Danio rerio: one gene and its partner. The protein of the gene in region 1 interacts with the protein of each later gene in a biochemical or structural test. Links are inferred from orthologs where the notes say so. Each region holds a gene or a part of one and is shown in the gene's direction. Other genes may lie near its edges.

What was found.
Region 2: the proteins of med23 (region 1) and elf3 form a complex in vitro, tested with the Homo sapiens proteins (4 studies listed by BioGRID, with this or other methods). The link is inferred for Danio rerio from reciprocal best matches to the Homo sapiens genes MED23 and ELF3.

Annotation. Positions count from the first base shown.
Region 1 is NC_133195.1:2,630,779-2,634,392, reverse strand, and holds part of med23 (mediator of RNA polymerase II transcription subunit 23), read left to right. Parts: intron 1-494; coding exon 495-669; intron 670-1,203; coding exon 1,204-1,367; intron 1,368-1,511; coding exon 1,512-1,636; intron 1,637-3,614. UniProt on the Homo sapiens protein: Required for transcriptional activation subsequent to the assembly of the pre-initiation complex. Component of the Mediator complex, a coactivator involved in the regulated transcription of nearly all RNA polymerase II-dependent genes.
Region 2 is NC_133197.1:678,205-682,475, forward strand, and holds the start of elf3 (ETS-related transcription factor Elf-3), read left to right. Parts: upstream 1-1,448; 5' UTR 1,449-1,549; intron 1,550-1,636; 5' UTR 1,637-1,643; coding exon 1,644-1,779; intron 1,780-2,140; coding exon 2,141-2,371; intron 2,372-2,776; coding exon 2,777-2,923; intron 2,924-3,011; coding exon 3,012-3,122; intron 3,123-3,214; coding exon 3,215-3,301; intron 3,302-3,665; coding exon 3,666-3,779; intron 3,780-3,863; coding exon 3,864-4,059; intron 4,060-4,172; coding exon 4,173-4,271. UniProt on the Homo sapiens protein: Transcriptional activator that binds and transactivates ETS sequences containing the consensus nucleotide core sequence GGA[AT]. Acts synergistically with POU2F3 to transactivate the SPRR2A promoter and with RUNX1 to transactivate the ANGPT1 promoter.

The DNA of each region.
Region 1 (3,614 bases):
AAAATTAAGTTACTAACTCAAAATTATGACTTACTAAATCAAAATTGAGATAAGTTGTTTTAATGATAAGTTGTTTTGTCAAAATGATGAAAAACTAACTTAAAATTATGACAAAAAGACTAAGTCGAAATCTAATTACTAAATCAAAAGTATGAGATAAAGTTCAAATCAAGTGTATAATTCAAAATCAGGATTTACTGACTTATCAGGACACAAATGTGTATAATGACAGGGGTATGACACCGGTATTGCAAAAATGTGGTGAACCGTGAGTACATTGCTGATGTCCTCATTTCTCCAAAAGCTTCTAAATCACAGAGACTGAGTGTTTTTCAGAAAGTAAATCTGTCTACAGTTTCCTGTGAGGGTTGGGTTTGGTGGTAGGGTGGGGTTAGAGCGATACAAAATACAGTTTGTTCATTAAAAAAACAATCTAAACCTATGTAAGGTCCCCACAATTCACAAAGATAAACCTGTATGCGTCTTTCTTACAGGTCAGCTTCTGCCGAATGTGTTCAAGTCTCACGCGTGGGGGATTCTGCACACACTGCTGGAGATGTTCAGCTACCGCATGCACCACATTCAGCCTCATTACCGCGTGCAGCTCCTGTCCCATCTGCACTCGCTCGCCGCTGTCCCACAGACCAATCAGAACCAGCTGCACCTCTGGTTAGACTCCGCCCACACACACTGTTCAACTTAACTGATAACTGTTTAACTTCACTGTTAGTTTCCACTTCATGCCATTAATGATCGACAAGTGTTATACAGTTGAAGTCGAAACTATTTGCCCTCCTGTGAATAAAAAAAAAACTATATTTATGTATTAATAATCCATAATGATTTACAGAGTCTCTCTCTCAATTCAATTCAATAATTGCTTTATTGGCATGACAATTGTTAAAAATGTATTGTCAAAGCAGTTATACAATTTACATAAAAGTAGCATGCATATATATTAAAAAAAGAACAGTACACACAGTCAATAGTAGTGGTAAAAAATAAATAAAAAAAGATGATATTTATATATAATAATTAAATAAAATATCAACAATAAATCATATTATTCAATATATCACATTAATATTCAACTCTTTCTCTCTGTGTGTGTGCGTGTGTGCGTGTGTGTGCGTGTGTCTGTCTGTCTGTCTGTCTGTCTGTCTGTCTGTCTGTCTGTCTGTCTGTCTGTCTGTCTCTTGACAGTGTTGAAAGCACAGCTCTGCGCCTGATCACGGCTCTGGGTAGTTCCGAGGTTCAGCCTCAGTTCACACGGTTCCTCAACGACCCAAAAACAGTGCTGTCGGCCGAGTCTGAGGAGCTAAACCGAGCACTCATCCTCACACTGGCCCGGGCCACTCACGTCACAGGTACGCACACACATTTCATTCACACACACTTACGACTAATTTTTTTTTTACATTGTAAATGCGTAGTCCTGAATATAGTCAGATCTGTTTGTATGTCTCTGCCTGTGTCTGTCGGTCTGTCTCTCTGTTTGTGTGTGCATGCAGATTTCTTTACAGGCTCGGACTCGATTCAGGGCACTTGGTGTAAAGACATCCTGCAGACCATCATGAACTTCACACCTCATAACTGGGCCTCTCACACTCTTAGCTGTTTCCCTGCTCCACTGCAGGTACACACACACACACACATGCACGCTCAAGCATTACACACATGCGCACATAAACACATTTACACTGGCACATACTCTCATACAAACACACACATTCTCTGGCTCTCTGCAACTCTCACATGGTCGCACACTAAAGCTAAGCAGGGCTGCGCCCGGTCAGTACCTGGATGGGAGACTGCATGGGAAAGCTAGGTTGCTGCTGGAAGTGGTGTTAGAGAGACCAGCAGGGGGCGCCTAACCTGTGGTTTATCTGGTTTCTAACGCCCCAGTATAGTGAAGGGGACTCTATACTGCTCAGTGAGCGCCGTGTTTTGGATGAGATGTTAAACCGAGGTCCCAACTCTCTGTGGTCATTAAAAATCACCGGATGTCCTTTGCAAAAGTGTAGGGGTTTAACCCCGGCATCCAGGCCAAATTTGCCCTCTGGCCTCTGTCCATCCTGGCTTCCTTACCCTCCCATTATCATAATAGGCTTCATCACCCTCTCCACCAATCAGCTGGTGTGTAGTGTACATATAGTAGGGATGTAACGGTACCAGAATTTCACGGTACGGTAATACCTCGGTATGAATGTCACGGTACGGTATTTATTGAATCATTTACAGGAAAAAACAAAACTTATGAAAATACTCCAAAAAAGTGCGTAACGTTGTGCATTGTCTTTCCCCCACTTGAGAGGACAAGCCATGAGTGAGATAGAGGTCTCATGTCTGTATCAATCTGAATAGTGTGCTGTGTCACACCCTCCGTCCCGCCCTTCAGTAGGCACGCGACAACACCGCTCTTGAGTATGCGCGCTCAACCCCCCTCCCCGCTTTACAGTACGCGCGCGACAACACAGCTGATCAGAACGCGCGCAACAACACCGGTATTTTCTACGCGCGCGACAACACAGCTGATCAGAACGCGCGCGACAACACAGCTGATCAGAACGCGCGCAACAACACCGGTATTTTCTACGCGTGCGACAACACAGCTGATCAGAACGCGCGCGACAACACAGCTGATCAGAACGCGCGCGACAACACAGCTGATCAGAACGCGCGCGACAACACAGCTGATCAGAACGCGCGCGACAACACAGCTGATCAGAACGCGCGCGACAACACAGCTGATCAGAACGCGCGCGACAACACAGCTGATCAGAACGCGCGCGACAACACAGCTGATCAGAACGCGCGCGACAACACAGCTGATCAGAACGCGCGCGACAACACAGCTGATCAGAAGGCGCGCGACAACACAGCTGATCAGAAGGCGCGCGACAACACAGCTGATCAGAAGGCGCGCGACAACACAGCTGATCAGAACGCGCGCGACAACACAGCTGATCAGAACGCGCGACAACACAGCTGATCAGAACGCGCGACAACACAGCTGATCAGAACGCGCGCGACAACACAGCTGATCAGAACGCGCGCGACAACACAGCTGATCAGAACGCGCGCGACAACACAGCTGATCAGAACGCGCGCGACAACACAGCTGATCAGAAGGCGCGCGACAACACAGCTGATCAGAAGGCGCGCGACAACACAGCTGATCAGAAGGCGCGCGACAACACAGTTGATCAGAACGCGCGCGACAACACAGCTGATCAGAACGCGCGCGACAACACAGCTGATCAGAACGCGCGCGACAACACAGCTGATCAGAACGCGCGCGACAACACAGCTGATCAGAACGCGCGCGACAACACAGCTGATCAGAACGCGCGCGACAACACAGCTGATCAGAACGCGCGCGACAACACAGCTGATCAGAACGCGCGCGACAACACAGCTGATCAGAACGCGCGCGACAACACAGCTGATCAGAACGCGCGCGACAACACAGCTGATCAGAACGCGCGCGACAACACAGCTGATCAGAACGCGCGCGACAACACAGCTGATCAGAACGCGCGCGACAACACAGCTGATCAGAACGCGCGCGACAACACAGCTGATCAGAACGCGCGCGACAACACAGCTGATCA
Region 2 (4,271 bases), on another chromosome or scaffold:
AGTGTGTGTGCGTGTGTGTGTGTGTGTGTGTGTGAGCGAGCGAAAGAAGGGGGGGTGGGTGTATATGAAGTGTGTGTGTGTATGTGATGTGAGGTGTGTGTATGTGTGTTTGGAGGGGCTGTGTGCATGTGTGAAGCGTGTGTTTGTGTGGTGTGCTGTGTGTGTGACAGAAAGAGTGTGTGTAATATAGGTGGTGTGAGGTGTGTGTGCATGGTTGGTGTGAGTGTGTGTCTGGTGTGCAGTGTGTGTGTGTTTGGGGGGGGGGGTGGTGTGTGGGTTGAGTGGGTGTACTTGAGGTGTGTGAGTGTGATTGCATGTGTGTGTGTTGGGATGTGCATGAGGTGTGTGTGTATGTGTGTGTGTGTGAGCGAGCGAAAGAAGGGGGGGTGGGTGTATATGAAGAGTGTGTGTGTATGTGTGTGTATGTGTGTGTGTGTGTGTGCGGGTGTATGTGTGTGTGTGTATGTGTGTGTGTGTGTGTGTGTATGTTTTGGGGTGGGCTGTGCGTGTGTTTGTGATTGCGTGTTTGTGTTGGTATGTGCATATGAGTTGTGTGTGTGTGTGTGTGTGTGTGTGTGTGTGTGTGTGTGTTAATGATTGTGTGTGTATGTGTGTGGTGTGCAGTGTGTGTCTGTGTTTGGGAAGATTGTGTGTGTGTGTGTGTGTGTTAATGATTGTGTGTGTATGTGTGTGGTGTGCAGTGTGTGTCTGTGTTTGGGAAGATTGTGTGTGTGTGTGTGTGTATGTTTTGGGGTTGGCTGTGAGTGTGTTTGTGATTGCGTGTTTGTGTTGTCATGTGCATATGAGTTGTGTGTGTGTGTGTGTGTGTGTGTTTGTGATTGTGTGTGTGTGGTGTACAGTGTGTCTGTGTTTGGGAAGATTGTGTGTGTGTGTGTGTGTGTGTGTGCATGTATGTGTGTGTGTATTGGGGGGTTTATGTAAGGTGTGTGTGTGTGTGTGTGTGTATGTGTGTGTTTGTGTGTGTATGTGTGTGGTGTTCAGTGTGTCTGTGTTTGGGGGGAGTGTGTGTTTGTGTATGTGTGTGTGTGTGTGTGTGTGTGTGTGTGTGTATTGGGGGTTTATGTCAGGTGTGTGTCTGTGAGAAAGAAAAAGAAATGGAGTATGCGTAGTGTGTGTGTGTGTGTGTGTGTGTGTGTGTGTGTGTGTGTGTGAACTCTCATGGTAAATGTGTCAGTGGTATACTATTTGCTGGTATTTATCTCTGGGTTGATGTTAGCTGCCTTGTCAAGTTTCAAGTTCATGTTTCAAGGTCTGAAGAGCCATTCTGAGGAAAAAAACCCGAGGCGTGAGTGGTAGAGCGAGAGAGAGAGAGACATTCGCTGGAATTCCCCCTCCCTGAGACTGTGCTCACCTGGCCCCGCCCCCGATTCCATACCTGGCCGTGCCCATTTCAGCCCTATAAATACACGAGGAGCAGGTGCAGCAGAACGCTCAATGCTAAAGCAGATCTCTCACTGACTGGATTATTACTGACGCAGCTCTCACACTGGGATTTTACCTGGAAAACAATCTTTGACCACCACAACTGGTAACTAATCAGCATTTTAAATCATATTTCTACACAAAAACACGTGTATTTCTGAATTCTAAATTGGCGTTGCTTTCCATCACGCAGGATCCTCATGGCGTCAAGCGAACTTAGTCTAATTCTCAACAACGCCAATGCCAACCTGTACCCTGAGCCGCAGGCCAGCCTGTTGAGCATGTGCAGACCACCGCATCTCTCCGAGATCACCTTCAACAGCAACAGCACATTAGGTAAGAGTGCACTCCTGCTCACTCAATAACGGCTCTCATCCTCGCCAGGGATGTTTCCCATCACCTAAACGAGAGTTCAGACATGCTGATAATCCCTCAGTCTGACCTCGTGAATAATTAACCCAGGCAATGTTTAACTCGGGCCCGCAGCAGACGTGCAGGAATGCTTTCGTTAGGCTCTTTCAGCCATTGTTGACAATGCGATCAAAACCTGCAGGGTGTCAACACAACCGATAGTTAAACACACAACAGAAGCTGCGGCCCTGGAGACAGTAAACCTGAGCGGCTATTCTTCTATTGTTAGAGGCGTCTCGTCATGTCAGGTGTGATTGAGGCTAAATGTGCTCCCGTTCTCCGGCAGGCTCCTGGGACCAGGTGAACCCGCAGATGTGGAGCAGGCAGAACGTTCTGGAGTGGATCGGCTTTCACGTGGAGGAGAGCAGATTCGACGCCGGCTTGCTGAATCTGAACTACTGCACCATGGATGGGCTCACACTTTGCGCAACATCCAAGGAAGCGCTGATGAGCATGTTCGGGCCGGAGTTGGGCAATCTGCTACACCACAGTCTGGAGAGCCTGAAGGCGAGATATGGTGAGTAACTGTTGTAGATAAACTTGCTGTTTAGTAATTGATGTTGAACTATTTGGAAGTAACACACACCTGAGGTGCTGATGTGGCCGTTAAACCTCATGATTTACTAAGAATTCAATGCCCTGGAATCAATGTAAAAGCATCTGTTAGGGATTCATTGTTTTGTCCTTAATCATCTCCTGTGTGTAGCACTAGTGTCCTCCACATCTCCTCCTGCTGCTGTGTTTTGTTGTGATTTTTGACTGTGGTAGTTGTGATTGAACTCATTCAGCGGGGTGATATGCAGCTGTAATGCACTCTTGAACTACTTCAGCTTTGAATTTATCCACAAACGCTCTTAAGGATGTAAACTGTTCTGATTTTTGGTGGCTGCATGCATTAACAATCTTTTTGTTGCATCCCTAGTTAATGACCTATCTGAGAACACCGTCCTGAGCGAATCCGAGTTTGAGCTACTAGACAACATCCTGCAGAACTCATTTCCCTCCATGCATGGACCAGGCCTGGGGCCTCTGCTGGAAACTGTGGTGGTCCAGTCTACAATTCCAACAGGTGAGCCGCAAATCCCACTCAAGACAAAAAACCCCCAGAGAGCAGGTCTATCCCTACTGGGAGTAACATTTAAAATTGTTTGTTGCAGACAATTCAGACGCCAAATACAGCTACTTCGATGAGTACACCAGCCAGCTGACCCCAGAGAGTGACCACGGCTACGACTCTCTCACGGAGAGCTTTCAGAGTTCCCATGCTGGTAAGAATCCCCACTAAAACCTAAACAACTCAGGTCAAGGGCGCTCTGTGAACGAACATTATTGAACATGTACTTCGGTTTGTCCTGTGTAGGCAGCTTCCTGAACCCGAGCTCACCTGAGTCCAACAGCAGTGATTCTGACCCTGAATACTCGGAGACTCCTTACTCCATCAGCTCCAGTAAGTTCCTCTCACTCGTCTACAGTTGCTCCACCTCACTCCTGCATGGCGATCTACCTGCAGAGTTTCACCTGAATAGGCCGACATGTGTCGTCAGGACTACCTGACAATCACACAGGCTGAAACTAAACTCTGCAGGAAGATGCTCCTCGAGTATACTGCCCTACAGAGGACAGTATCTACGCAAACACAAAGCTTTGACAACAGATCAGATTCTGTAGTTAATATACGTAGATTTACACCTCAATATTGACCAAATGTGTAGATACTGCTCCTTTTAGGGCAGCATAATAATAAGGGAGTTCCCTGGATGACCCCAAAACACAAACCTCTGACATTCAGTTGTATTGTCTGCTTTCCACAGAGAACTTTTCAAAACAAGAGCCAGAAAAGACCAAGAGAGGCAGAGGACGACCTCCCAAGCTCAGGGATAGTGACGGATTTGATCACTTCATTCAGTCCAAGAAAAGCAAACATGGTGAGTACGCAGAGCTCTGCCTTTAGAGGCTCCTGATGCACACATATGCAGTGTACTAAACTAGACTCCACTGTTCCCCCAAAGCTCCAAGAGGAACCCACCTGTGGGAGTTCATCCGGGATATCCTGATCCACCCGGAGCAGAACCAGGGGCTGATGAAGTGGGAGGACCGCAGGGACGGCGTCTTCAAGTTCTTGAAGTCTGAAGCTGTTGCTCAGCTCTGGGGGCAGAAGAAGAAGAACAGCAGCATGACCTACGAGAAGCTCAGCAGAGCCATGAGGTATAAATCAATCCTAAAATCACTGGGGAGCCTGGGAGCAATAGGGGAGTCTGGGTTTGTGGCAGTGGAGCCTGGGACAGAAGAATAATCAAAACTCTTGCTCTTTCTGACAGGTATTACTACAAGAGAGAGATTCTGGAGAGGGTGGACGGACGGAGGCTTGTTTACAAGTTCGGGAAGAACTCCACCGGTTGGAGGATAGAGGAGACCGG